Schizosaccharomyces pombe: one gene and its partners. Changing the gene in region 2 together with the main gene of any one other region gives a genetic interaction. Each region holds a gene or a part of one and is shown on either strand. Other genes may lie near its edges.

Region 1 (8,769 bases), on a different chromosome or scaffold from region 2:
TGTGTAAACAAAATTGATAATGCTTTCTACTGTTTGATTTTACTTTGCCTTCTGGCCCTTCTTTTGATTGATTATATCGCTAACGCCTTCTAGTTTCGTCTTCACCATTCTACCAACCTTCGTGTGCACCTGCGATGCAAAACATCGCCCGTCATTGAAGAATCAAAGGAGATATCCTTTTCTTATAAAGATGAGCATCCTATTTTGGATTTTACTTGGGCACGCTCTGACCCGTCTCCACATTTTCGTATCACTAGTGACCTTTTTGACGCTTAAAATTCTATATGTATGCACCAAAATCATCCATTAGTAAAAATACGTAACGGTTTAGCTTGGTCTTTTACTGACATACACTCGTTGGTGCTTTTTTTTTTTAATTTAATATTCTTTCGTACGCCTTTCTAATCATTCATGTCATCCATCCATCTTACCACCAAGTCGATTATATCAGTAAATCCTTTGAGATTCCTTGTTTCTCATTTTCGACTTTTTATACCACTTCTTGTCGGAATACATATCTGATCACTAATTGTTATAACCCAAGCCATTGATTTCAATTGGCTTGTTTGGTTTATTGAAAAGAATAGATATCAAAAATAATTTATAACGGGAATTTAGCTTCTGATATGTCACCTAAAACACTCAATTCCCATATTTTTTTTTTAATCTGATTTCTCTACAGATTTTGAATATAGTTGTTACTTGCAAGTAACGATCATTAATAATACCATGGTTTCGATCCATCCTGTACTCTTCCACCACTCTGTTAATTTAAAATCAAAGAGCATTTAGTGGGTTAAAAAACAAAAATACGGAAATTTTTGGGAACGTTCATTAATCACTTTACCTCATTATATACGGGTTGAAAGATATCACAATTCCCATGAGTACTAATTCAAATGTAAGGATAAGCCTTCTTTTTATACTGTTTAAATTCCCTGATATATCAGTCTAACAAATCTATTTTAGCAAAATTCAATTCATACTCCAATACCTGAATTTCCGGAAAACCGGTCTACAAATCGATCGGAATTGGCAGCTGCTTTCGAGCCTCCAGACGACGATGTGGAATACAGTGAAACAGCACCTTTATATAGCTCTGCCAGAGCATCAATAGAAGGAGAAGAAGCTTTTTACCAACATTTATCAACGCCGGATCCTGGCAACGACTCTGGGCATGTACGTAGTAGCAATGATCGAATTCCCAGCACTTCATCAAATCATGCAGATGGCCATCACGTTGATAGTGTCTTCTCTAATTTATCTGCTAAACCCACAGTGGAATCTAATACTGAAGAACTGGAAGAGGAGCCCCCTTCTTATGAACAGGCTGCTGCGGATACCGCCCCTCCTTACTGGGATACCACTATGGTAATTCCAGATTACGGATCTAACGAGATTTACATTGATGGGATGTCCGTTGGAACTGGTTTCTCCTTTGTATGGAGTGCTTGTGTCGCTATTCTCTTTCCTTTTGTAGGATTTCTTGTCACATATGTCTTATCGACGACTCATTTGGGTCGTTATGGTGCTCAAATTGGACTTAGTTTAACTCTTTTTCAACGTGGCTACATAATGATTTCGGAGAGTGGGATGGAGAATAACGACGATCAATACAATTACGACGAGTTACCACATCAGAAGCTTATAGGCTCTATTCTCATTATAATCGGGTGGTGCTTGGTACTAGTAGACACCTTTGGGTTCATCAGAATACGCCGTATGAAGAATGCCATTAGTCGGACAGACTCACCTGGTGAAACGTCTCCGGAAGAAGTGGTTTAGTCACGATCTATAGGTTCTTTTAGTTGCGGCCGTATACTTTACAAAATAATCGGCTCCTTACTTTTTCGTTTATGTGTTAAGATTTTATTTCCCTTATAGTTTTCATTTTTTCTTTAAACATGTTCTCTTTTTCTATTTCGGTTTATGGGCGGATGATCCTTGTTTTAAATACCTAGTTTATTAGTTAATCTTGCCCTACCTGATTTTTTTTACGACGCATCATTTTACTTTTCGCTCTCTTTGATGAATAACTTGGCACATTCACGGCACTGTTGATGTATTTTTGTACAAAGCTCGTTCAAATTACCTTAAAACCTGCTATTGATTCTACAGCTACTTTTATGTTTTTTCCATGGTACTTCTATAGTGATTTATTGACTTATTTATTGGAAACTTCTACTAGTTTCATCTATTAATTACATTTTTTGTCAAAGATTACTACTTATAATAAAATTTGCGATAATCGCCATTTTAATAATAAAAGCCGTTTGTTTACATTTCAATTTTTTTGCTAGACTTTTTGCAATTTTGTCATAGAAAAATTTTCTCTTTATAGTAAAGACTAATAGATTATTAACCCGTACCGATGTATAAAGTATAACTAAATTTTTATGTATAAATAGATTTTTGAAATATGAATTCATAGCTTCCATGCTTTAATATCGTGAAAAACGTTACAACTTCCAACCTCCATTCATAGCAATTGATCACGGATGATCCATCCTAGTTTTTACCCTTCACATAGTTTTTAAAGCAGAAGATTGTGTTCACGGTGAACACATTCAATTATGTGTCGATACTCTTTCCTAATGTACTAGATAAATGTTAGCTATATGTAAACTGGAAAAAATTTGAGAAAATGATTATTTCCCTCAAATGGGAAATAATAACGACTTACCGTAAGCATGTAAGGGTTAGCATTGTTGCCCGTAGTATCAGCAAAAATTTCGCTTTCATCTACCACAGTAACATATTCATCATTATATTTTCGATACACATTGTTTTCGAAATCATGAATGTAAGTCCAATAATGACCGAATGAAGCCTGTCCACGATGCACAAATACAGCAAGCAAGTCGTAGCTATGGCTGATGTAATTATCGAAAAGATGCGTCCTTTCTTCTTTTAAGCTGGCTTCCTGTTTTTTAAGCATATCCACTTCAGCGACAACATTGTTTATTTCCTCTTGAAGGATATCAGGAAGTTTTGGATTAATAGGAAGTCTCGAATCCTGCTGCTGTGCAGCCCATTTAGATAGAATAGACAATGTATCAACAGATGACATTAGATTCGAATTTGTAGTTAACAATAGCTGTTGTCGTTTTTGAAGGTTGATAATTTCACGCTTTAGATCCCAGTACCTTTGTAGTAAAGGTGCCATTTTCCCATCAGTATCTTCAACATATCTGTCCATGGAAAGTTCTTTTCCAAATTCAACAAATGCATTAGACTTGAAAGGCTGTCCAGTAGTCCTGTCAAATTGGACACGCTGTATTTGTAATTGCAAAATTATCGGTAGCTCAGTAATACACAAGGATCGTTGGGCAGTTTCGCTTCCCATATCAATATTGACTGTTTCAAAAACACCATCCAATGCATCATACAATGTTTGTTTCTCCTCGAAAAGGTCAACGATCAAGTGAGAAAAAATCTCATAGTTAGACCGTACTCCTTGACTAGCATCATTTAGTGTTTGTTTTAGTTTGCCAGAAAACAAACGTCGTATAAGATCATTATCAGAGCCAAGACGATCTTCTGAGTTGGAAATACGACCAAGTGAAGCTTCCAGTTGAAACAAAACGTGATCAATACATTCCAAGACATCTTGTTGACGACCTAAATCCATGGAGGAGTTTATTTCTTCTTCAGATACTTCAAAGTAATGAGGTTGTGTTTGAGACTCTCCGTTAGTATTGGCCATGGGAAAATCAATTAAATTAACTGATGAAGATTGTTCCGCTGGACTTTTGGCCTCATCCTGTCCTTGTTCTTGTTCAAGCCCTTGAGCTTGCTCTTCTGCTCTGGGGTCAATAGTGATAGATCTCTCATTCAAATTGCTCAACTCTCGAGACGATGACAAATCCATAACCGAGGATGTTCCAGATTTGACCTGGTCCAACGTAAGAGGTATTAAAGCAAGATATGTCAGTACTGAAGAAGGATGAACAGACGATGACTTTGAAGTAATGAGTTCAATAAATAATTTTCGGAGTTCATAAGTGAATTGTAAAGCCCTCAAGAATTCAATTCGAGTAACAATCCGTCCACCAACTTTCTTGACAGCTTCCTTGTTTTCAATCATATTAAGATCTTTGTTTTCATCAATATCCAAAATTGCATTACGAAGAGGTTTTATAATAAAGTAGTATTGGATCAGGGAATTCAAATAACAAAGATTACCAGTATTTTCCAAACCGATCGGAGTATCCAAACTTGAAACTTCTGGTGGAATATCTAGATTTCCATGTTCTAAATAATGAGTGATTAAACGCGAATTCCTAACTTCTCCTATACATTTCAAAGCTGCTCTCAAAGTGTCTGATTGCTCTGGGTGGTCTTCAACAGCAAAGCCGTATACATTGATTAAAACGTCATCTGATAGTGCACGATCTTGAACACCTAATGTGTTGTAAGCTAGATCTTCATCCATAGGCACTTCTTTAGGCTTCTTGTTGGAAGGTCTACCTTGTGAAGCCAAGAAATCGTACAAAATGGAGCTATTTCTCTCTTCAGCTATCCATTTGACGGCCTCGATGGCTTTGTCGCTATCATCTTCAAATTTCACTAAGGCCACAGAAGCTACCATGGCGTCCTCGGTGTTAGACTTAATGCCCAACCATTGGTAGGCTTCATTAACCGTATAAAAAGCCTGTTCTGTAGACAAAACATAATTTAAAATTTCAGAACTCTTTCTTGCATAGCCAATAGTCTCCAAATCGTTCCTAATAGCTCTGGCAAATTCAGGTTTTCTTAGGAGGGCAGAATGAAACGCCTCAAAGATTTTTTCTTGACTATACCTGTAATCCGGGCCTACCTCAGCTTCAAGTCCTAAACTCGAATAAGCGGCTTGTATTACATCGCTCGACACGATTCCATTTTTCCTATCTGCCGCAATTAGATCTCTCAAAAAGCTGCTTTTACGTAAATTGTATATATGAGCAAGCGCATCCGCATAAACACGAACATTAGCTTCATCGTTCTTTTTTTGTTCCTCATAGAAATAACGGACAAAGCTGTCTGGATAATCATTCGTGATACCCAAGGCTATAAAAGCAGGATCATCAGGTAAGGAGGCCGAATTGTCGCGAAAAACTGTGGTATACATGGGAACCACGCTATCATAGTTAGGAACGCCAAAGGCATTAATTAAAGCAGGTCGAGCCAACCTAACGGGAAAAGGGTTAGCAACAATAGCCGGATCTTCTTTAGTGTCACGAAAGTGATTAGCCAAAACAATAAGTTCATTCCTAGCAAGGTATAGATTAAGTTTTTGTTCGTCAGTAAGGGGAGCGTCCGCAATGGTAGGGACATAATTTACATTTTCGTGGTGATATTCAAACAGAAGAGATTTCATCAAAGATTGAATTTGGCGGCCCTTTCCGACATGTCTCTCAAAAGTTCCTTCCGGGGCAGCGCTAATGGCACGTTGATCGTTATGGACCAACACGTTTCGTAAAAACAACTCCAAAGAAGTAAATGTAGTAAAAAGAGAAGGTTGGGATGAATGGGATGACCCTTGATGAGATGACGATTTTTTAGTTAAAAGGGAAGCAAATGATGGACGTCGGGAATCAATTATCTCTTTGATACAATTAGCATCAAGATAGCTATCTCTCCATTCAACTTCAATTTCACTTTTTGTTGTTTTGCTACTCCATTTCATACAAGTAGAGGTAGTAGCGAATTCACTTTTCGTAGGGCTAGTCACATGAGGTTCAGGTAATTCCTCTTCTTCGTAGTAAACAGGAATCCTATCTTTTATTCCATAATTTTCTTCAGGCTCTTCAATTAATGGCTTCCCCCTGTCTCTTCGGACTTTCACATGTAAGTGTTTGCGAGTTTTTTGACAAACACACCAAAAGTCATTCTCGTCAAATACAGCGGACTCGCCTAAATTTGAATGAAGCTGCCAGTGATATCTTGAGCTATGAGGACTCCAAGGATCATTCCATCCAGCTGATGGACTATCAAAGACGTCTAAATCTTGAATCAACCGATTAGGACTTTTGCCAATTCGCAAGTTCTTTACAGTTGCCATTCCTCTTTATAGTTTGATGTAAATAATTTTAATAAAGAAATTTAAATTTTTTATTATGAAAAATACTTGAAAAAACGTCCAAACGGAAAGAACGTACAGATTGAAGGATTTTTCATGAGTAAAGGACTCGGTAGGTAGACTTCATGCGTATGATGCTTGTCGTCTTACATATGCCAGCCAGGTATGCGACCATCAATTTTATGAATGTGGGGAATAAGATAGAAGTAAATGTTTGTATTTCATTGATAAGGCTACTAAAGAAGGTAAGAAACAATCAACACCTACATTTCGCTATACGAAATTTACCATTATGCTTAAATAAGATTTTTAACCTAAATACACCTTACTTTAAAAATAATGTAGTTAATCAATAAAGATTAAACTTGGTTAACTGGAAGTTAACAGAATGGAAGTCTAAAAATCTAAAATATCATTAAAACCATGAAATGGTTAGCAATTGTAAAAGAAGGAAACTAGGCATCCTGTAAAAAAACAGTAAAGCTAAAATTAAAAAGACTTCAATTAGAAGAACGAGAGACGAATATATATGCCATCAGCATACTTTGGTGTGTCACGGAAAAGAATAAGATCTTAGCAAAAAATTGAAATCAAACAAAAGAGATAAATCTATAAACATGGAAAATAAGAATATTTGGGGATTAGGAATTAAAGCAAAAATTTGAAGAAAAAATAGAGAAAAGCAAACAATATTAGGATAACTGCCTTAGAACATTGCGCATGTCGTCACTGAGCTAGCCATTCACACTACGGAAATGTGCTTAATTGTAAAGAGAAAAGAAGTTCAGATGTATTGGCGAATTTTTAAGAAGGCTCCAAAGAATGTTCAATATTATTTTCGGGTAAAGCTACAGAAATAGGAGCAATAGCGGGCATGTTTGCAACGGGCATTGAAATCGGTAGATAGCCTAAGAAAGAATTTGTAAAAGATTGGGGCGTTAGTGGTGAATTCGTTGTAGGGATATGCATAACAGGTGGTGTATAAGCGACTGAAGGAAGACCCGAGAGCACAGTAGGGACAGCAGGTAGTGGAGTCGCATAGTGAGCGTATGATAATTGCAAGGGTCTCCCGCCATAACGATAACCATTTAATTTTTCAATTGAGGATGCTGCATCATTTTCATTCTCAAATTGAACGACACCGAAACCTTTAGATCGGCCAGTGGGCTCATAGGCGATTCGGGCACGAATGACTGAGCCAATATCTGTGAATAGGTCCAATAAATTGCGATCTGAGGTGGCCCAAGGTAACTATATTCAGTCAGTAATCTCCAAAAAAAACTTAAAATGATGCGGAAAACTAATCCCACAAAAGCGTCCTTATATACATACATTTCCAACGTAAATGCAATCCGAGCAGGGTCCATGGGGATACGCATGATAAACTAAATCCTCGACTTGAGTATTAGCACCTAACATGGGTAGATAGGTGGATGATGTAGTCATTTGCATTTCCGCTGGAAACGTATAGCCATTTCCATGAGTGGAATACGGCTTACTTTTATGATGTGCAAACCGATCTAGGCGAACTTCTAAAGTGCGGCCCATGAAATCAGTGTTATGCAACATTTGAATGGCATGCATGGCTTCTTTCATCGAACTCATGACAACAATCCCAATGCCACGGGATCGGCCTTCTTGGTTCATTTGGATATCAGCTCGGATAACAGAACCAGCTTGTCTAAACAAATCCTTTAAATCTTGCCAGCGAACGTTATACGGTAACTATACTCGTTAGTACCATTTCTTATTTGCAATTCCACAATTCATTAAAATACCAAAGTTCGAGGAAAAGAATATAGAGGATTAGAAATTGAACTTACGTTACCAACAAACAATTGCCTGTCTGGCTCAGAATCTTTGCCATTCGACGACGCGCTAGGCGATACTGAAGAGGAGCCAAATCTTGCATTTTGTTCTCGATCCTTTACGAAGGTTAATAAGCGACATAAAAAAAATCTTACTTCACGGATATAAACAAGACGGCCCATAAATTTTTGGTTGCTCAGAGTTTTAATTGCCGTGCGCGCTTCTTCAGCAGTAGAGTACTCAATTATCGCGCATCCCTGATATATTAGCTAGACTATTCACAATCTGAGTATACGACAAATTTTAGGATAAGCTATAGGCCATAAGTAATCGTTTAAAAGTAACGTTCAATTGGATCGATTCAACGTTACAATTTAAATAGACAATGATTTACTAGTCGCATGAAACCCACCCTCTATGAAGCAAACTTACCTTCGATAATCCATTCGGAAGATTCAAAATCTCACAATTAAGAACATTGCCAACTTGTCCCATAAACTCTTTCAACTCAAACCAACGAACTTGATATGACAAATTACCAACATACACGCGACGCTCTTGTTGAGTGTACTTTTGGCCATTTCCCAAGTGAGGGTCTCTTTCAGTGTGCTCTCCATCAAAATGCAAGCCACGTTTCAATGAATTGCTTCCGTTGACATGTCGCTTCGGAGACTCCGATCTGTCACGATCCATATTGGAAGACGATGAATTCAAGGAACTTGACACATCCAACTTACTACCCATTCCTGAATCAAATTCATTCTATTTGATCAGCTAAATCAATCAATAGTTATCATACCCATTCTATAGGTTTAGGCATCGCAAGAGCATAAGCTGAGTGTGCATCTTCACATAATTAAAGCATCCCAACAACTTGACTTCTATAGTGTAACTGCAAT
Region 2 (8,223 bases):
GGAGGAAGCAGCTGAAACAGCGCGAGACTCACATACAGAGAGTGAGGAATAACACAGTAATGCAACGTAAAAACAAAGCCATCAAAAAAGAACTTTGCTCTATGGAAACACACTGTAAGCAATGGAAACCCAGAATTGTTGTCTTCATAAAGGTCAATGAGTAACACAAAAAAATATGAGTTTTTAATCAATTGACTACTTCAATCCATTCTTTCTTCATTCAATTCCCATTCCCATTCCCTTCAAACGGCCGAACTAGTTTCTTCCTTGTCCTCCATAACGAGCAGTGTCAACAACGTGCACTATCCTAACGTAGAGTGTCATTCTTTCCAAAACATTTTAGCACATTGCGTTACCTCATGCATCACAGTAATGGGGTCCAGCTCGCTTGCTAATTTACCCATTCTCCTTGCAATCCACCCCGCACTACACTATGCAACATACCGTGTTTCACCGTCGTCTCTCCATATTCGCTTGAGTTCTTGGCGTTCTCGCAAACAAACTGGATGTCTCATAAAAGGAATTCCTCTTTTTCTTTTCTTTTTTTTTTTTGAATCTTTCTTACTCCCTTTGTCCTTCGCACACTTGATAAAACAGAGGAAATTGATTTTCAACAAAGCAATTGACTTTAAACTAAATTCACTTTGTTGTTCATTCACTTGTTATCCATCGATTTTGTTCGCTTCCTCGCTTCCAATTCAATTCATTGCACTCCCACCTACTGTATTTCTTCTCTTCTTCAAATTTTATTCCAGACTCTTTTTTTTTCGCATCATCCCAAGTCACATACTTTACAATTCATTTCGCATCGTTCTTTTTCTTTCGCACGCATCCCCCGCCATCCTACATACTATTTTCACATTTACTCTATCCATCCCAAATTTACCCTAAATTATCTACCACCATTCAAATCCGCTCTCTACCCAACAACCTCATTTACATGTGCCAATTCCTAAATCACATGTTTACCATGATATGTCTAACGGTATTCGAGGCGTGATTTCTAAAAAGTCATGCAATTCAACATAAATTTTCCCCAAAATTCATCGATAATCCTGTTACCTTTTTTTGTTATAAATATTCATTCCCTTTTCTCTTTTCTTTCACATTTGTCAACGCATTCTCTCACCGTTTCACTTGTCTCAATAGCTTTTTTACAAGAGCGTTCACTCCCATTTCACTTATTTCTTGTCTCCATTTTTTAATTCTCTGTAAATTTTATCCAATTCCTTTCTCAATTGCTTTTATATCGAGAAACGAATTAATTTCACCTGACTATATTGATTTGTAACCCAACCCACTCATCATTGATCGCACTTTTCCTTACCCATTTGTTTACTGGATTCCATCCGATAACCTATGCAATCCTAAAATAGCGAGACTCGTGAAGTAACATACTGCGGGTCTCGCTATTTCGGTGGTGGTTTTCTTCTCACTATTTCTCTATTTCACGATGGGCAAATTTTTCTTTATGATGAAAATATCTTTTTCCCTTTCACGTTCCAAGTTCTGAAATCATTACTTACAAATTACTAAATTTCCTTTCTAACATCTTTCTCACTACTTTCCTAAATTACTCCTCGATGTGTTATTGCCATTGCTCCAACTTTCTCCGTTCTTTATACTTGAAATACAGTTAACCCTTTATAATGACTACCATTTTACTTGCTATTACGACTCGCTATTTTTGCGTTATATTGCTACTATTTTCAACCTTATAGGAATTAATGTTTCAAGACATCGATCTATTGAATTTAATTGGTTTGATTTGATTTGAATTATAATCTACTAGGAGTCTTTTTCCTTTTCAGAACTTTTTCTACGTTTGTGTATGACACTGTCTCTTCTTCAACTACATCTACATGAACGAATCTTGCCAGTAGTGAAGGTTAGACATTCTATTTTTTCATGAGAATTTTACAACAGCGACATGCTGTTTTGCTAAATTTGGATGTTTCAATTTGCTATATTTCTAGAATCAATAATACGTATTATACAAATTTGCTCTTCATTTCAATGTAAATAAAAGTATCAAGTTTTTCTATTCAGTAGACTTAGCGTATAGGGTTGACGTAGTGTTGTTGACTGAAGTGTGGCATATATTACTAGCGAAGCTTTTTTTTTTTTACACTTTGCTTTAGCGAATTCGCTTAACATTTGCCGTCAAAAATTGTTTAAAATAGGAATGCCGAGTGAACCACCCCCCTAAATTGCCAACTGATTAAACGTGTTTCATTAGCACTTGACTTTTGGAAATATAATAATCATTACTTGAAACTAGTTATCCCACTTCGCATTGCTTACCCACACCTACAAATACCTTAACATCAAATCTTTATTTACCCTTTCCCTCTTCCAAAACGCCAGTTTGTTTTAATAATGCAATAAAAAAATACTCTATGAACATACAAGGAATTACCATATAATGGCAACATTACGGCGTGGTATGATATGTTATGATATGAACAAGCAACATTTCAAACTACATAATTAAGCACTATCAAACAGAAAACACATGTGACCACATAGCCATATAAATCACACACATATATATATTGAAAAACTTCATAAATTCGATTGTCCCAATAAAATCGATTTTACCCTTCCATTAATAGCATCTTGTCCGCAATTATTTTTAGCCTATTTTTGAATCCTTATAAAAAGCATTTTCCAACTTCTACGTTATCAAACTTTTTGATCATAAGTTCAATTTAAGCATTACCGTACCAACCTCCTGGTCGGTTTATAAATGACTGGTTGTATGCATTATAGCCTCCTAATCCATTACTACCTGCATTGGTAGATGCTCCAGAGTTGAACGGAAACCCAGCGGGTTGGCTGTTTGCATTGTTGACCTTGTTAGCATTGCTTTGAAAAGAGGTTGTCTGCTGAGTAGCAGCATTGGTCAATGGCGTTTGTTGAGGAGGTAAGCCATAAGGAGAGGCCGCATTGGCACTAAGGTTTTCAAAACTTCCAACATTACCCATAAACATACCAGGAGCCGCACGTCCCATCCCTGACATGGAAGACAAACCACCCAAAGTACTTGACATGCTGTTCGCCCCGGTTACGCCTCCATTTCCAATCACAGAGTCACGATGTCCAGCCGCTTTCTCAGTCATGCCGCTAGTATTTGCAGTGGCATTATTAATTGGGTTGCTAGTTTGTGTTCCACTCATACCACTTACATTGCCAGGCTGTTGTCTGTTGTACACGTTGCTGTGTCCACCAAAGATGGGAGGGAAATCATTAAAGCCGCTCTGAGACATGTATCCTTGCTGGGGCTGTCCAAACTTGTTATTATTGTAAGGCATCGTACCGTATCCATAAGACACATAAGGAATAGGATACATTGGAGGAAATGCATAAGGTTGGGGCTGTTGTTGAGAAACAACAGGGCTAGGAGTCGCTGTTCCAGCAGCAGGTAGAGAAGTAGCATTAGAAGATGCAACCTTGTTATGCATTACCGAGTGCACATCTGGTGTATTCGACGCACTACCAGCGACATTATCATATTGTGAGTATTGATTACGCTCATTATAGTAATGAGCTGCTGGTGCAGCTTGACCATATTCAATAGGAGACATAGTAGTGTATGCTGGATGACTAGTCTGTTGATATTGTTGAGAAGTATTTGAAGCATATCCCAATTCAGTACTATGGTCGATGTGTTGAAAATTGTCGAATGGGCTATTGGCGGAGCGGTTTTCCACAGGATTCATAAATCTAGAAGAATATGGAAGTGCAGTTGTCTCCCCAGCATTTGAAGATGCAGTTTCGTTGTTAAAAGCAGCTCCGGTAGACGGAGGAATAAGACTAGCACCAGCATATGGTTGAGGGGAAATTCCATGTGTAGCAGGAGAATAAATACCGCCATATCCGGCACTTTGTTTACCAACCACCGGGCCACTTGTAGCACTTGTGGATGCAGCGGGTATAGTCGTTTGGGCTGATACTTGAGGAGGGATGGCCGAGACAGAAGAGGCGTTTCCACTGGCCGGTAAATTTACATCGTGTAAACCACGATATGGTGTCTCGTTAACATGAGATTCCTTCAAGTTTTCGGGAACCTTCGATTGTGGAGCACGGCTTTCATATGCTGAAGTGTGTTGTTTCTTTGGGATTTTGGTGGATTCAGCAACTTTGCTCGCCTCTTTTTTTGCCTCTGGCTTTGGTGAAACTGTCTTTTTAGGAAAATAGGAACTTCTTGGTCCAGACTGTGCTATGTTGTCTGAAGAAGACTTTGTCGATTTTTTGTCCTCACCCCCAAGTGTCAAGCTTCCGAAACGCACTTGAACCTTTTCGGGAATAGCAGCAGTATTAGCAACAGGCATAACGACGGGGAATCTATCAGAAAGTAATCGAGCAGTAGTCATACTAGTTGTAGAGCTTTGAGAGCCAACAGCGGCTTGCTTCGCAAAGGAGGGCTTAGGTAGGGAAGCAGAAGAGATGTTGGAAAGCCCAGGAGCGGGCTTGACTGCATTTATGGCAAATGGGGCAGTACTCTTTTTGGGAGCTGAGGTAGCTGTGGAGGGGGTCGTTTCAACATTTGCGGGAGTTGCAGAGTCCTGGGATTTGTGAGGGAAAGGAACAGATGAGGATGACAGTTCAGCAGGTTTTTCGTAAGCAGCGGAAACATTAGTTTTAGAGGGTTGAGAAGGAGCGATAGAGGGTTTAGAAGGTTCGGATTCGGGAGCGGGAGCGGGAGCGGGAGTGACCTTTTTCTTCGACTTTGCAACTGAAGCCCAAGCCTTCTTTATAGGCTTTGAAGATGCAACAGCCTGATCAGCCGCACTGGTCGACTTTGCTGAGGCCGAAGTACCGCCTGCGGTGCCGTTCGTATTTGTTGAAGCAGCGGTATTAGCCGATGTTAAAACTGAAGCTTGTTCATTAGATGTAGTATGATCTTTCATTGAGGAATCTTCATTAATAGTACCAGGATCAACGGAAGAAGACACTGTCGTTGATGCAGGAGCTTTGGTAGAAATTTCTGAGGAAGGAAGATCGCCAGTACCAGCAGGCTTTTCTAAAGAGGATGGTGCATGAACGGAAGAAGGATCTGAGGGAGCTCCTGCTTTTGATTTTCGAACCCCCCGAGAAGTATCCTTAGAAGCGGAAGGTTTCTTTGATTTACGTGTAGCATTACGAAAGGTGGAAGAGACATTATCGGAAACTGGAGCATGACTTGTTGGTTTGGACTTTGTTTTAGGGATTGGCTTCTTTTTAACTTCACCCCATTTGGAGGCGTGACCTTCAGTAATATGCAATATGGTCAGTTCCAAATCCCGGTCCGCTTCTTCTAAAGCAAAACTTAAATCATCAATCGTCCAGCTAGGAAACAGCTCTTGCAATACGCTTAACTGCGAATCACGATCAAATTCGAGCTCAAGCGCATTTGATCCCTCTATATTACTAGTCTGAGACGAATTTGCCGGGCCAGATTTTCCTTTGGTGCCTCGCCTTCCCTTCGCTCCTCTCTTGGCGGAAGAGGATGAAGTTTTATTATCTTGCGATATATTTAACGCTGTATCTGTGTGTTGCTTTTCTGAAACTTGTTCGGTATTTCCGACCTTCTTTGGCCGAAACTTTTTATTCTCACTCATTTTTGATTCTACTTTTCTTTACAAAAATTAATACAGGTCTTGAAAATCGACAAGGCACGTGTATTCGTGCTTCAAGACGATATGCAAGATTTTTCGTGTTATTTAAGGGTAGTGGTTCTGGCTGCGTTTTGGTGTCGTGCAGCATAGTGCTTTTGCTTAAATGGAAATTGCCTATACCAGAGCAAGGTGGTAGTGAATGCGCTAAAGTGCAAACTATAGCTTTCCTTGAAATTTTTATACATAGAAAAACTTATAACGTTATAAAGAACAATGTTATTGTTTAAATTTTACTTTACTTTTTCTTCATTTTTGCGATTACCTTTTCTAAAAGCTTGATTTATATAGTAGTGGAGTGCAGTTTACTATTGTATTTAACGATTTACCGTTGTGTATCTTTATTGCTCTTAAGACAATAGCTAGTTAGCTGCTTGCCTGAATACATGAAAATATGATGAAAGTAGAGCTCATTGTATTAACTTTTCTATTGCCCAATTTCTTCGATACTGTTAAAAGATGTGCAATTCGTTTAGCTAAATTCAAGTTGACTAAACACCTTTCGTTCCATGCTTTGCTATTACAGATTCCTAACACGTTGGTATGTTTAGAAATTTGCAATGCAATATCGGGTATTCAGTTGGTCAATTTATGAAAACTTTAATTACTGCTTCAAGTAATAATCCATCCGTTCTAATTACGCGGCTTCAGTAACATTCGAAGCTCTTCATTCACTTTGTTGGGTTCAAGTGAACCACACTTATAAACGTGATGCCCTTTATCTAAAAAAATAAATATGAAGCCTGCTAATATTAAATTAACAATAAAAACAAGAAACATTGCTTTGGCCGGGAATCGAACCCGGGTCGAATCGATGGCAACGATTCATTATACCACTAAACCACCAAAGCTTGTTAGAATGCTCTATTAAAAAGCATATATCTATTTAATTGTAGAGTTATAAAAACATAGAATATTGATAAAATAACATTATAATTTATTCAAAAAAACTAAATTGTACAGCTGAATAATCGCCTAGTTATATTAAGATAAATTCTAAAAGCATTATTATCAAAGTTTCTGTCAATGCTTATAACTAATGTGTCAAATGGTTTGATGAAGCGTTCGCATTATTTTACTATTTCATCTTTAATTTTGTCATTTTTTACAAATTTTCGTTGTTTTTTAAAAAAAATTGCTGTGAACTTTAGTAGTATCATCTCGCAATTTATATTGATTTTTCTTCTTTTTATTTTTATTTTATTTTTTTATTCAATTGTTAGTAACCAAAATTAAGTCACCATTTTTGGCAATTCAAATGACTAACTAATTATAAAATAATAAAATCAAACGTGCTAAGATTCTATGTTTAAATTGCTAAAGTCAATACTCTCTTCTTGTGAAGAGTCCATTTTCAAAACGACAACATAACAGAAAACTGTAAAGAGTAATGAAAAGAAACCCACATTTCAAGGAATAGCATATCTATCTATTGTTGCACTATAATTTTTTAACAAAAGCGGCACATTAGAAACCATTTTCTCAAATAAAAAATTGATTTTACATTGAAAACTGTCAACGATGAACAATAAACAGTGCATTCGTATGACAACAAGATATGGACAAGTTAATTCGTACGCTAGAATTGTTCTCAAATGTTTACAGATAGGTTTGATATATTTCAAAATCTTTATTTGTCACTATTTTTTACAGTATCATCAACAAAGCAGCATAAAAAATTCAGTGAAGCCGTTAACATTGTAAGAATAAAATAATATTCCGAAAAAAAAAGAAAGGAGCCTACAGCACCCCGGATTCCCATGTTGTCTCCAACCATAGTACTAACGAGGCCCTCAGACGCTTAACTGCAGTGATCGGACGGGAACTGGTGTTTTCGCCTAGGTGTGGCCGTAGACAGTTACTAAGCATATTTAATAAATTTATACACATACCTAAAGCTGCGAACAAGTATTAATCAGGTTTTGAAATAAATGTAATTTATATTCCTTCATGTGAAGCTAATAAAATAAATTGATAATAAAGATATCTTACTTTAAGTTCTCATATGTGTTTAAACTGAGTATTTACAATCCAGCATATTTTGTGTTGTTTGAGAATATGTCTCCAAAAGAAGTGCGTCTTCTTTTATATAAGTAGAAAGTAAAGGGACAAAACAATTTCAATTCTATTCATTCGAAACGCTTATCGGGAAAAGTATTTCCGATTCAGAGGAATAAAAAAGAAAGACAAAAAACTTCAGTGGTTTATTCAAATCAGCCAAGACGAGTCCCAAGTTAAAACGACAAACAGTATTTTAACATTATTGAAAATATCATAAACTAAACCGATTTCAACCCTTTCCAAAATCGACCCTTCTCGAAACTATTGGAAACCAGTTTATATGTAATACAATGGCAAGACTGAATTTCTTATAGTATGTAAAAGCACTGTTTTAAAGCATAATGAAGATATCTCTAATCCCAAATAAACATTGAGCTTGCGAAATTTACGAAGCATATTAGATTGTGTATCTAGAGGTGAGCCTACTTTTTTTATTTTTCTTGATTATCAATGAAAGAATTCTAAAAAATATGTAAATTAAATAGATATAATGTTGAACTTTCGT
Region 3 (7,099 bases), on a different chromosome or scaffold from region 2:
AGAATAGAATGGTGGGGAGCTGGTAAACGTTGCCGAACCAGTACCAGTACCAGTGTATGTGACAGAAGTGTTTGAAGCAGTCAGCGTAGTAGTGTATGAGCTGCTGCTGGAGGTGAAAGAAGAAACACTTGATGGTACACTGGTAGGGATGACACTACTGTTGGAATAGAATGGTGATGAGGAAACAGTTGCCGAACCAGTGGTAGTGGTACTTCCAGTAGTAGTAAGGTTAGTACTATAGGAAGGAGTGAAGCTACTGAGACTAGAAGAAGAGACTGTAACGGGTGTGGAAGTCGATGTAATAATAGACGTTGGCAAAACAGATGATGAAGACAGGCTGGCAGACGATATAACACTGGAAGGTAAGAAACTAGATGTGTTATAATAAGGAGAGCCTGTAGTAGTAGTAAACGATGAAGAGCTGGGAATCATAGACGTGTTTGTAATGGTGCTAAACGAAGAAGTGCTCGACGCTGGCGGAGGTAAGGTTACAATGTCGGTCGATGTGCCTGTCGAGACACTAACGTCTGTAGAGTATGGAAAACTAGAAGTAGCAGATGAATAAATGGTAGAATTCGCTGTCACAGTTATAGCAGTGCTTGGAATAGAAGTGCTAGCAGAAGCATGACCACTGTTGGTTTGTGAACTAGTGAAGGTAGTCATGCTTTGAAAAGTACTACCAGTAGTAGAAGAGATACCTTCGCCGCCAACAATATAAAAAGTACCAGATTGGGCGTAAATAACAGAGTCGTCGCGAATAGACGTAAAACTAATTTGGTAGCCATAACCTGGCGAAAGATCTAAAGCAGGAAATGTGGCATTTTCATCAAAAGTATTGATGGTCATTATGTAACGGCTTGTTGGTGGATACTCAACTTCGTTTATTAACCAGACATTAGCCTGCAGGGGATCAGTGCTGACCACACTCCATTCCAAGGGTTCAATATGTCCACTAGTCCAAACGTCTGAAGAAGAAGGAACATTAATTTCCATGCCAGCACAAAGCTTGGCTAAGCTAATTAATAGCCCGCTGATGGTTAATCTTCTCATTTCTCAAATAAATCCCTAGTTCGGCAATTGGCAGTGCACAGGCCTTCAGCAAGACGAATACCCAACTAAAAGTAGATGGTTAAGGAAAGAAAGTAAGCGAGAAAGGCGACTTAATATAGCACTTGGGTTTCTGATATGACCTAAGTGTATTAATGCTCAAAAGTGGGGCAATGCTGGAAACTGTATCGATGTAAACAAAAACAATCGAAAAATTGTGGATTCCAGAGAGACATTTATATTTGCACCTAAATTAGATAACGCATTCTTGGGTCGCGTTACTATGGTAACATTGGTCGACTTTGTGTAAATAAACATCCAGCACTACTGCAAGAAAGTACAAAAATGACGTTAAATGTAATTAAGGCACCACGTTAATTCAATGAATCTGCAGGTTCTTGGTTAAAAACCAGCAGAATGGCTGGTAAAAAAGGTTGGTTTCTCTCAAATTCACCTAAAGGCTGGATATATTGCCTGTTTAAGAGGCTGGTGTAAATATAAAACTGTTCATTTGAACAATTAGTGCACAACAATGTTAGATATGTTGCAATGATATTACCAATAAACGTAAGATGGTAAGTACGCATACCGATATGTGAAGAGCCCACCAAATATAAGATGGTCCTCCGTGACTCAAGGTATAAGTGGCATATATGTCGGAACTGAATTTTGACTGTTTCAATGAAGCCTTCTTCCATCGTTGGCCAATGAGTTTTTGAATCAGAAATGTAACAACCGAGGGTGTGTTCTTGGAGGACTCTGTAAGAACATCATTTGTCGCGATCAGTTTGACAAAACCAATATTTCCTCCAAAGTACCCCATTGCGCTGGGTAATGTATGTTCGATGGCACCGTTCGGGTGTTCGTAGTCACAACCCATATGATCATGGCCAGAAAGGACCAATTTGATGCTAGGAATCAATTCAAAAATTTTCATAGTAGTATTATACGATAAATGATTTTGAGACTTGACCCGAAAATCCAATTGACGAACGATTCTCGGTTCGTCAACACACACATTAGCTGGTTTGTAGAGTGGCACATGGGTGAACAGTATGGTTGGAATAGACGGCTCTAAAGCAATGTCGAAAAGAAATTGCCAAGCATCCCTAGCTTCTTTTGAAAGAGCAAGTATACCTAATGATGAAAAACTTTTACTGTTAATAATATCGCTAGGGTTCGCATCGTAAAACTGAACATCATCAAGCGAAAGGCTATTTATGCCGATCACACGGACAGGAAATTTAGAAACATTGAAGTGCGAAACCCAATTTACCGGGCCCATAGCTTGTTCCCATTTGCTAATTTGTGCGTCTGAACTTTCGCAGCCATAGCCAATGTCATGATTACCCGCAATCGTCCAAACGGGAATGTTACCGTTTTCAAAAGTACGTGCTGGTAAACTGGAGTTTCCTACTTGCCAAAAGTTTTTTGCCCCAGTGATTTTTTTCAGTCTTTTAGCTCTTTTGTTGAATTCTTCGTTATCCAAGTGCTGAAAACTGACCAAGTCACCCAACAGAATCATCGCATCTGGTTGACCCCAAAACTGATTCATATGTACAAGGTGTCGTAAAAACAAATCATTCCCCCAAAGATCTAAAGTGCCTTTAAAAAATCCATTTGCTTCGATTTTATGATTCCCTTCAATCTGAGGATCAGCAACCCCCATAATAACAAAAGAATTTTCATCTTCGAGTTGCAGCTTTCTTGGCATTATGCCAAATAGTAGAGGATAGGCATAGTAGACAGCTAAAAAAACTAGGCAAAGATAATGTAAAATAGACAGTTGTTTGTTCAACCATAATAAATTCGGATGTCTTGCAAACATTATTGACTTAATTATGTCAACGTAAATTAAAAAAGGGAACGGAGAGAAGGAGCGATTTTTGGAGTGCCTATTTTTACTTAGGAGCAGACTAAACGAGTAATGTAGAGGCGTAAGATTTTGGTTTTTGCTTTACTTACTAGATTATATAAATGGTATACCACCATAAAAGTGTCAATAAAGCTTTTTAGAAAGATTTGCTTTCAAATAACAAGAAATGAGCAGAACAGAATAGAAAAACAAAAAGCACAAATGAAACAACAAAACTTATTTTTCTAATCCATGAAGCTAGTAAATGGGTAATTTATAGGTATAGCTGCAGTATTCGAACAAACCCACTGCTAAAATTTAGATTGCAAATCAATGGTCAAATGATTGATTCAAAATTCCTGAAAAAGAAGCTTGGTTCTTAGAAAAATGTGTATCGATGTTTGCCGTTGAAATTTTTTTCTGAATTGAATTAATACCAAGTGTATCAGTATAACTGGCTTAAACAAATTAAAAAATAAGCTTTCTACTGAATGTAATAGCAAAAAACGGCTAATAATCTTGACCGAAGTTTGTTTAATGATGAACAACGGATATGACTGAAATTGCTTGAAGTGTATATCAAACTAAAGAAGGAATACCTCAAAACATGGAGTTGTGGCTGACAGTTTTCACGAAGAAAGGAATGGAAAAGAGCGTCGAATTTCAAACATAAACGTTTCTTTTAGAGCTCGTCTTAGCTGCCAAAGTTAACCCGGTACACTACTTAGTATTAATAGGTGAATTATGACTGACGTTTTTTACATTAAACGGATGGTAACATGTTACTTGAAAACAGCAGTCCAAAATTTTCGCTGCATAGACGGTAACGGAAATTGAGTATTTATTTTTTTTTGTAGAAGTTTTTACATAGCAATTTACTAAAATGTCCGACGATAGAATCAATTACCTTAAGAATAAACTTGTTCAATATCCAGATTTTCCCAAAAAGGGAATCTTGTTTGAAGATGTAAGATTTTATAGAAGGAGGAAATGCGCGAGGTTGGATAGGAACGGTGATATTATTTTGCTCAATTAGCGTGAAGTTTGAATCCAAAATACAATTCGAGAGGTTATATTATCTTTACGCCTTGCAATTGCTTAAATACTCTGTTAAATTATAAACAATAAGATGCTAATGTTATTAGATAATGCCCATTTTTCAAGATCCCAGAGCCTTTGGCATCCTTATCGATCTTTTGCTTGAAGCCGTTGAAACTGAATTCAATAACATTGATGTGATTGTTGGTTTGGAGGCGCGTGGATTTCTTTTTGGACCTACGTTGGCTTTACGTGCAAATTGTGCATTTGTCCCTGTCCGTAAGCCCAACAAGCTTCCCGGTGATTTGGTCGTCGTAAGCTACAATAAGGAATATTCTACTGATTCTTTTGCAATCCAAAAGGGTACTATTAAACCCGGTCAAAGAGTCTTAATAGTTGACGACATTCTTGCTACTGGTGGCACCGCCTTGGCTGCTGATGAACTCGTTACTCGTTTGGGTGGTGAATTAGTTGGACATCTCTTCCTTTTAGAACTTACATTTCTTCAAGGACGTAAGCGTCTTATGGCTCCTACTTATACACTTCTTACTGGACAGGATGAAGCACCTGATGGTAGTGAATTTGCTTAAACTATGAACTCGAAGTATGTATAAGCATTTCTAATTTTTAACGTTATATTTGCTTTATTCCTTTTTTATAAATGTTTAGGGTTCTGGGTTTTTTTCTATGGTTTATTCGTCAAGCTAGGATTTTTTTAGTCTAAGTTGTAAATTGAATAAGTTATACATTTTTCAACTAGTATTCTAAAAAGTAGGATTTTTGTTAGCAAATATATATAAATCGGGTGGAAATCGATATCTTAAAATGAAAAAAAAGAAAAAAGGATGCAACATCATAAGGAGAAAAGCTTATAAGGGTCATAAAGGGTATAATTTTTAGAATGGTCAATACCACGCTTTTCTTTAATATAAATAGGTAGATACATTCAGCTTATTATAAGCCTATTGACGAATCCACGTTATAATATAGCCCTCGATTAAAAGTATAATTACAAGAGAAAGCTGAATTATCCAAATATACTTTTATTAAGTATTGAATGGATAAACATCTATAGGCTTTGAAATCACGCAGCACAAATATTTTTTAAATAGTAAAAAGCATATATGACCGCAAGTCTATACACATGCGTAAATAAAAAATCACAAAACAGCGTTATTCCTAGCTGTTTATGCATTTCAGACACAAATATAGGTTTGAAACTGGAGTTCCTTGGAAGTACGAAGGGGCGTCAAAGTCTGATTGACGCACAGAGACGTTGGCCCATTTAGAAACAAAATTGTTTTCATTTTTTAAGAGAATAGTCGGAGGGATGTATGGTTTAACCCAATTGAATAGACTGTTTTGAGAATGAATATTTTCTAACGGATTAATAAATTCACCATCCGTGATGAGAATTAACAATCCTGCCTTATTGGTATTTTTTGCTTGCTGCACCCATGAGCAGTTGCCAAGTGGAGCAATATATGCTGTATCTTTGTCGAGAGTATCGGAGGGTTTTTGACACATACTGTTATTTAACAAGACTGTCTTAAAAACCTTTGAAGGTAAAGAATTATCGTTGTCAAATTGAAGGAATTTTCCAAACGTTTTTTGACCACTGTTCGGATTTTCTAGCTGAGCAATAGTTCGATCAAAGTACAATGCATCAGGTCTTGTGAAGGTCTCATAATCCGGATCGGTTAGGAAGACCGTGTCATTCTCATTTATAGATTCAGCTCCAGCAGTGTATAAAAACAGAGAATTAGAACCTTCTTTTTGAACGAATTTAAGTTTATTACCGATAATGTCGGATATGTATACATTATTGGTTACACGTTCCACTGATTTTATAGGACTAACAAGTGCACTTCCATAAAGGAGTTCAAAACCATCGGAATACTCTGGCCTCTTGCAAACACCCGATGGATCAATTAGATACGAGGGTATTGCTTTGTTATCAATTCCTACTAAATGAGAGACATAATCGTAATCGTCTCTAGATGCTATCAACGAATATAACATTGGCCATTTAGATCTGTCGTAATCTTCTGCAACACAAACTTCTCCACCGTCGTAAATTCTTTGAGAGGTAGACAGTCGTGTTTGATTTGTCACGGGAAACAAATGACCTTCTGTCGTAAAAATAAAATCATGGTGACTTCTGTGAATGGGATTATCATCGTCAAATAATAGAAACAAATATTTAAGGGTTTCGCTCAAAAAGAAACTTTCCATTCGATTCGAAAGTGTATACTTTTCTAGATTCTCTACTGCCGCAAATCCACAAGGAGTCCATAGGTGGTTTTCGATATTACTTAGCAGTAATTCACCGACATGAAGATAAAATACATCTTTAGTTGCCCTGTATAAATAATATGTAGACTCAGCAAATTCAGGACGTAAAGGATAACCGTTTAGTTCGATGGACTTTGTATACAAGTTGTAGCGCTCTGGTAATTGCCCAAACTTCAAATAAATAGAAAAATAGTACAAATGCATTTTCTTGGCAAGCTCCAGTTCGCCCGCCAATACCAATAACCCAGGGAAATAAGCACTCAAAGAATCAACCCAGCGCGACATCACCATGCCATTAGCTGAATAAACGTTTTGATAGTAATATTCGTTAAGAGAAGCGGTATAATGCCGTAATGATTCCAAAGACTTTTGCCAAACTTCTAAATACCGAGGATCTCCAAGAAAGATATAAGATTTAAAAGCATATTCGTAAAAGCTATCGATGCCTGCACCGACTCCTGAAACAGGATAAATCCATCTGCCACTCAAAACGTCGATACTATTGCCCAAAAGACCAATACCTGACCTTCGCTTCCATACGGAGAAAAAAGCGTTTTCAGCAGAAGCTTTAAACTTATTATTCCCAGTCAAAGCAGTAAGCATAGAAAATTCCAATACCAGGCTGGAGGCCGCAGCAGCACAGTTTTCGGTTACCTCACGATACGCGACACCCTTCATTAGATTGATTCTTGCAAAAGGAATTCCAGTAGGTGTTCGAAATGCAGGAAGTAAACGTTCTGCTAGTTCTGTAGCCAATGTCAATAATTCACCCTTATACAATGGGATTTGAAATCCATATTTTTCTTCTGAGGCAAAAATATGAGATGAAAGTAGTCCTCCAAGAATTCGGATGGTTGCTTCGAA
Region 4 (7,401 bases), 2.5 Mb from region 2:
TTGTCTTGATTTCACTAATTCTTTTGCTGAATTTGGGTTTACTTTTAGGGATCCAAATATATCGGGATCCCGCATTTCCTGGATCGCTAATTTCATCGGCAGCCTATGAATTTGGGCTTCATAAGCATGGCCCATATTATAACGATAATGTAGATGATTTAAAAAGGTATACATTTATGGGCTTACTTACCCTTCCTACTTCAGAACATGATGTATACTTCAATGCTACTCGAGTACTAGTATACAAGCTGAAACATCATCCTGAAACGAAAAGTAAATATCCCGTTCATGTCCTTGTTATGAAAGGGGTTGATGAATGGAAAATTGAACGATTGCGACTTGATGGGGCCGAAATAATTATGGTCGATCAAATTAAAACTGAAGACTTAATTGAAAGTGGTTTGTCTATTGGCATGGGCAGTTATCGTTATCAATACATGTTCACAAAACTCAGTGTATTTGAGCAAACACAGTTTGATAAGGTCTGCATTCTGGATAGCGATCTCCTAGTATTGAAAAACATGGATGACATTTTTGATACTCCCTATGTTTATGAATCTCCTGCAGAACCCGATATGTTTAGCTTTCCTATCTTTAAGAAGCCAGATGATGAAGAGGATTATCAGTTTAGCGACAATTTCGATGCCTATGGTGCTCCTCGCTCAGAATTCTATCCATATCTTCTTGGCGCATGTGACGATCGTAACCCTGGACATGCGACGCCCCCAGAAGAATCTGAAACTTTTAATGCCGGGCTGATGCTTGTTCATCCCAGTAGTCTTCATATGCATAGGATTAAGAAGATAGCACGTTATCCTTATATGTATGACGATGCTAGAATGATGGAACAAAGTTTATTAAATCTTGCTTATAATAAATATGGTTGGTTTCCCTGGACGAGGCTCGATTTTTCATATAATGGAGTTTGGGTCACCGAAGAGGACTTACCCTATCTTCGTGCTGCTCATGGTAAATTTTGGGAATATGACAACACGGAGTTTCCCCAAATTTTGACTGCCGAGTGGCATAAAGCGTTCGGAGAGTTGCTGGCTTTTCATGACTATGTTGTAGAATAAAAAATGAAGGGGGGCGTTTATCTTTAATGTTTTCATGCTTCATTATTTTTTTGTCCCACTTCCATTCCTTGACCTGTAACTACGGTGTACCTGTTGAAGAGCTTAATACATATCTCACCGTGTATATTCTTACCGTTAAAGTTTGTTCTTTTCACATAATTTCTGCATTCAATTTTAAACAAAAAAAGACACATCATATTTTATTCTTCTTTAGAAGGGTCTACCGGTGTTCGGACTAATTTTATATTTTACATGGCTGATTACAATTTTCTTGTATGAAGCTGATAATCAAAATTTTAAATGTGCTTGCAGGCATCTTACAACATTTTTACTCTTATGACAATTACATAGGACTCATAACAATAATATTCTTTCACTATCAACAATATAACTACACTTCGGTAGTTAACTGTAACTATAAAAAATCTTTCTATTTTAATCATCACAAAGACTTATCTCACTGACCAGAAAAGTAACTTTTCTTCATGACCTTGCACTCCAAAAGCTACAAATAATGAGACAGGCATTAATAAGGTCAAGTCTAGCATAAGCATTGGGTATCAGTATAGTCACGTAAAATAAAAGGAAACGTGAAGTACTTAGTGAGTAAATACGGGAATAGGGTTAGCAGTATCAATGGCAAAAAATTTACGCTCCATTCCATCTTTATTTAAAATGACCATTCGAATGGTACCACCACTGCTGCCATCGCGTTCCATGGCTAAAGCAACAGCGTTCTTTAAAAATTCAACAGCCTCCTCTTGGGTCATATTTTCGCGAAAGTTAGCATCGCAAAATCCATAAATAAAAGCAGAACCACTTCCTCCAATAGCTAAAGGTTGCTTATGCAAACTACCACCTAACGGAATACTGTAAACATCTCCCCCAGTTTTTTCATCATATCCAGCAACAATTAAACCTGCACTAAGCATATTTTTGTTTTGATAACACATTTCAGAAGCTAAAGTAGCAGCTGTATGAACACTAGGGTCATGGCCAAATTGAATACTTCATAATCGTTAGATAATTTTTTTAACAACAATAAAATGAAAAATAAAACATGCAAAAAGGCTTTAGTAATCATCTAGTAAACATAAGGACTTGAGAGTAAGTCGATAGTTTATTCTAAAGGATAAACCAGCTAAAGCAGCCTTAATTTACAGTCATTCGGTTCATTCAAGGGTAACTTACCGATACATGGAAAGATAGTATTTTAGAAGATCAGCCACAGTTTGCGTATCAGCAGCAGAACCACTGCGACAGCACCAAATATTGTCTGTCAGCTGAGTCAGCTTATCAGTGACACGATTTGCAATATATGCACCTAGCAACGTTAGAAATCAAAGAACGAAAAGTTCTGATATTCCAATACACACCCATAGTTGTTCGAGAATCTGCAGCAAGTATAACGCCATCTTTATAACGGAGCGCCGTGATGGTGGTACCCATACGAATTTCTCTACAAAGTCAGAACTTTCAAAATCAATTTCCCGCAATCATACCCCTTTTTAATAGCATTAATGTCAACATTCATAGTATCTTTCACAGTAGTGGCCATTTTCAGAAGTTTGGTGAAAGGTTAAAATGATTAGGGACTTGTGTATGGTATTGAGAAGCAGCCAAAATTTAGGTAACATTGCTACCTGCATATGAAATTGCAGTATGAATATAAAAAATTGTTATTCAATTGTAAAAAGTGTTGAAAGAATTCGTATATTTTTTAAGAAATTCTTTAACGACTATAGATAAGGGTATAGTATTAAAAATTTTTGATCAAAAGTTACAGCCGACTACAGAGTTATAACCATGGATTGAACTTGAAAGTGCTCAGCTAGAAATTAACATAGGAAAGAATGAAAGAATCTAAAAGTTTGGGACTAAAAAGGTTTCTGAAGATTTTGTTTTCTTAATATTTGACGACTGCTTATATTTGGTTTACTTACGCAAATAACATGAAAAAAACCATAGCTATTGAAGAATGAAAATAATATGACCATGATCTTTTAACAAAAAATGAAGATATTGGAAGTTCGACCTGGAATGATGTATATATATTTACGAGAATTTCTTACGACGGATCTTCTAAACTGTGAATTAGGTATCATGTTATGTTTCATTTCTAGCGAAGCAGAATTCCAAGCAATATTGAGGTGATAGGGGATGTTCCAAATTCTGTTAATCGCCAAATTAATTTTGGAATTAAGGCAAGAAGCATTTCATTAACTACAGTGTATTTTGCTTATTTTAGTAAGGCAGTATCCCAAAGACAACTGGCTTTCTAAAAATCTCTTTTGTTTAGGTGTCTGTTATTTCAACAATATGTACATATATATATTTATTTATAAACTATTTCAAACATATTCAAGCAATTTATTGCTTTTTAGAGCGAATATCGCCATGGATAGCTTAGCGTGAGCTTAAAACATTGAATTAAAAAAATTTTCATTGCCGTTCCAAATTGTATCGCTTTCGCTAATGCTATAAACACCCAAAGCAATTTTTTTGTACTACCATCTTCAGGTCATATCGAAGTATCATTAATGCGATGTAAGACTTTGATGGGTATGATAAGGCTATCAAGCTGCTTAATGAGCATTTTTTCTTTGACAATTCGACCTTTAATTTATTGTTTACATGGCATATTCTACGTTTTAAATTTATGTAATAATGACGAGGATTGGAGAAATAGGGTACTCTACTTAGTGTTTACATCCTTCACAGAACACAACTCCAAGGCCAGCAACTCCACAATTAAATGCACGGTGTTTCAGTTGGAATCGAACAGCAAACGTAAAGTAACTCAAACACAACTTCATTTTTCATGAAAACCTCTTTTATAAATGATGGATCTGGAGCATAAACGCATTAGCCGAAGTACATTGCCGGATTATGCGGATCCCGATTACTTCGAGGCTAGAGGTGAAAGAAATCCGGTAAAACCTCAGTCTTCCAACGTAGTACCAGGAACAAGTCATATAGGATCGATCAAATCTCCGGCGGATTACGTTTTTGGTGACATTATAGGAGATGGATCATTCTCAAAGGTAAGTTGATACATTGCTTCTCAGTTCAGAAGTTTTTCAACCGCAGGTCGATTAACCTATGGACCTTCGATTACTGACGAATAAGTTGTCTAATATTCGTTAGGTGAGAAGAGCAACTGATAAAAAGAGTTGGAAGGAGTACGCTATCAAAGTCCTTGATAAAAAATATATTGTCAAGGAAAATAAGGTTAAGTATGTGAATATAGAGAGAGATTCTATGATGAGACTTAATGGGTTTCCTGGTATCTCTCGTCTTTTCCATACATTTCAGGATGATTTAAAACTTTATTATGTGCTTGAACTTGCACCCAATGGTGAACTTTTGCAATACATCAAAAAGGTATATTTTTTCATTAGTCTATTCATTTTTCCTTTATTAACTAAGCTTTGGTAGTATCGTTTTCTTGATGAGAATTGTGTGCGCTTTTATGCTGCTGAGATTTTATCAAGTATCGAGTATATGCACTCCTGCGGTATAATTCACAGAGATCTCAAGCCAGAAAAGTATGTTTGAGTAGTGGTCATTAAATGTTCGTTTCCTTTTCCTAATTCTAACCTATTTTTTAGCATTTTATTTGATGGAAATATGCATGTAAAAATTACCGATTTCGGCACAGCCAAAATCCTACCCCCTAAATATGTAAATAGCCCTGATTACACTACCTTTCCAAGCTCCTTTGTTGGCACTGCGGAATATGTTGCTCCTGAACTATTGTCTAGACAAGTTGTTTCAAAATCGTAAGAAAACCTATTATCCCAGTCTATTTTTTTTCTGACAAATATTTAAGTTCCGATTTATGGGCTTTTGCGTGTGTTGTTTATCAAATGATTGTTGGTTCCCCTCCTTTTCATGGCAGCAATCCTAATAATATTTTCAAAAAGATAATGAGCCTGGAATATGAGCTTCCAAAGCTCTTACCACCTGATATCGTTCCTTTGTTTAGCCATCTTTTCCGTATTCAGCCATCTGATCGATCTACAACCCAACAAATAAAACAATTTCCTTTTTTTGCTACTATTACTTGGGACAATTTATGGACTCAAGATCCTCCTCCTATGCAGTCATTCCGGCCTAATTATAACATAGCCATTCCTAATGCTCCTGCTTATTATCGCTCAAATGTGACAGCCGCAGCTGCTGCTAATGCTGCCGCGGCATTTGCTTCTGCATCCATTGTAAAGCATCAGGAAACTGCTCGACGTCAGGAGCTTCCTACGGTAAATCGTTTCACTGCTCCAACTGCTCATTATGGCTATGCTTCACTTCGAAGCCATCAGATGCCTGTTGACAGACTTTATTACAAGTTGGTTCCATCGTCTGAGTCGATCATTGAATCTACCTCGGTCTTCGTATCACCCATTCCAAGTGTACCTGAGGGTAATAAGTTTCCATCTGGACTCTCAAAAATGTTTTTGAAAAGAAAGCAAAGGGTTATGCTATTAACTGATGTTGGTCGATGCGCTTTTGTTTGTAAAGGAAAACATGAGAGACTTTTTATCGAGATGGAGGTGAACTTGAAGGATTCCAGTGTTGTAGTGATTTTTGATGAAAATAGTTCCAAGCGATTCTTGATTGAAGATAAGGTCCAGTCCTGGATAATAGAAGACAGTTCCGGGGATGTCACCAAGTATAAAGACAAAATCCTTAAGTTTGCTGATGTTGCGTCTTCTCATCAATCTCGTTCTTCAGAAGAGAATGTAGAAGAGAACGAGGAAGAGTAACCCCATACCTTGTTTTATTTGATTTTTCAACCCATTTACTACCTTCTTTATATTTTATTATTTGTCGTCAGTGTTTTGGTAATATTTAACTATTTAAGCTATACATAATTAGAAATTACGACGCACCTAGGAAGTCGCAAGATGGAGAGGTATTATGTATACATATATATGTATAGTATTTATAATATATATACTTGAATTAATTTTATGTTAAAATTCCATTTCTTTTGGTGAGATGTTAAAATTATAATATTAGTAAGAAGAGAGAGTTAGATAGGATCGATTTAAAGCGCATACTCTTGATACCAATAAAAGTTTTGTGGTATCAAGGAAATAATGTTTATCAACGTTCCAAATTAAAACAGAAAAAGAAAATGATAAATGTTCAGGACCCATTATGCTAAGCTCTGTGATATCAATCCTCATCTTGTTGACATATGTTACATCATGTGGGCCACAATTAATAAAGCTATTAAAAAAGAGTTAGAAATATCAGTTTCTCTTACTTTTAGAAGAATTTTCAGAAGGCATTTTTTCCCAAAATAATTGAATTCTAGCAAGCAGGGCGTTATCGTTTTGAATGGGAATAACACCTGACAGAGCTTGCATTACTACTTCAAAGTCTGCATCAATTAGCGTGTCCCACATTCCTTGTATAACCGCAAGAGAAGTGGCTTGCAATAACCTGACAGTTTGACCTTTGCTTCCACCTAATAAAAACAGGAGATCCCATATACGTAATTGAGTATGGAAGGGCACGCATTGATGAAAAACAGTGAGATACCAACGTGTAGCAAAAGCAGATGGTTCTGCTCCAATTTCCGCCAGATGTCTGCCTGATTGTGTAAAACTTAACTCATGCTTAAGCATGTCAAAAGCCTTTAAAAGTGTATCAAACCCGGAAGAAAACAAGTCCCCCATGCCTCTATTTTCCAATAAATTTACCATCATTATAAATGCTTGTTCTTCGGGATAGTAAATGAGCAAGGTCGCAGCAATAGAAGCCATTCCTTGAACGTATCCAACACGAGGTATATAGAGAGCTACAGCATGAAGAACTCTAAATAGTAAACGTTGCCCTCCAATGTAGCGTTTTCGGAATAAGAAATGTGTAGCAGCTGTTCTGGGAACATCTAGGTCAATTTGAACATCATAGTCACAAATCTGCTCGTTCAATTGGTAATACTTGTCAATCAGTTTTTTATCAGGAAGAGAATCCACAAGAAAGGACCACCACGCAATAGATCGCCAACAATCTGGAATCCCCTTAAATGTACGTAAAATTAACTTACGAGTTTTTCGAAAAGAATGGAGCTGATTACCGGAAACGAGGTGTATTGAACACATCGATTTCCATTTTTGAATACGGGAAAGCTCTTTAGCTGATATTTCGTTGCGGTCATGCGACTCGCCGGGAACAACCATGAAGATGCTTTCATCAACGTACTTCAGCATGTCATCATGGCCGATTAATTTATTGCCAAGACGTTTGGCAGGGTTTGGTTTATCTAATGTTGGGTCTTTACTAACTTTATAGAACCCTAAATTATTAACATTAA

What was found.
Region 1: mutations in def1 (region 2) and ubp2 together harm fitness less than expected from each alone (positive genetic interaction), as found in Schizosaccharomyces pombe (one large-scale study listed by BioGRID).
Region 3: mutations in def1 (region 2) and ted1 together harm fitness less than expected from each alone (positive genetic interaction), as found in Schizosaccharomyces pombe (one large-scale study listed by BioGRID).
Region 4: mutations in def1 (region 2) and pdk1 together harm fitness more than expected from each alone (negative genetic interaction), as found in Schizosaccharomyces pombe (one large-scale study listed by BioGRID).

The regions. Positions count from the first base shown.
Region 1 is NC_003424.3:3,484,599-3,493,367, reverse strand, and holds ubp2 (ubiquitin hydrolase Ubp2), read right to left. Parts: upstream 6,175-8,769; 5' UTR 6,044-6,174; coding exon 2,684-6,043; intron 2,600-2,683; coding exon 2,534-2,599; 3' UTR 2,269-2,533; downstream 1-2,268. Other genes in the region: tubulin specific chaperone cofactor C Tbc1, read left to right, coding at 94-276; bsd1 (heavy metal ion homeostasis protein), read left to right, coding at 884-901, 970-1,785; hrb1 (RNA-binding and mRNA export factor), read right to left, coding at 6,866-7,312, 7,394-7,786, 7,885-7,986, 8,026-8,127, 8,303-8,632, 8,670-8,690.
Region 2 is NC_003423.3:568,441-576,663, reverse strand, and holds def1 (RNAPII degradation factor Def1), read right to left. Parts: upstream 5,727-8,223; 5' UTR 5,604-5,726; coding exon 2,712-5,603; 3' UTR 2,344-2,711; downstream 1-2,343.
Region 3 is NC_003424.3:4,079,901-4,086,999, forward strand, and holds ted1 (phosphoprotein phosphatase), read right to left. Parts: upstream 3,606-7,099; 5' UTR 2,876-3,605; coding exon 1,583-2,875; downstream 1-1,582. Other genes in the region: protein adg2, read right to left, coding at 1-1,050; apt1 (adenine phosphoribosyltransferase), read left to right, coding at 3,786-3,869, 4,048-4,530; alpha mannosidase Mnl1, read right to left, coding at 5,120-7,099.
Region 4 is NC_003423.3:3,112,902-3,120,302, reverse strand, and holds pdk1 (serine/threonine protein kinase Ppk21/Pdk1), read left to right. Parts: upstream 1-3,793; 5' UTR 3,794-3,916; coding exon 3,917-4,120; exon of another isoform or gene 4,121-4,223; coding exon 4,224-4,460; intron 4,461-4,514; coding exon 4,515-4,624; intron 4,625-4,687; coding exon 4,688-4,858; intron 4,859-4,908; coding exon 4,909-5,842; 3' UTR 5,843-6,072; downstream 6,073-7,401. Other genes in the region: alpha-1,3-galactosyltransferase Otg3, read left to right, coding at 1-1,076; proteasome core particle subunit beta 1 Pre3, read right to left, coding at 1,676-2,084, 2,268-2,400, 2,453-2,535, 2,579-2,634; SPOM_SPBC1778.09 (GTPase-activating protein), read right to left, coding at 6,335-7,401.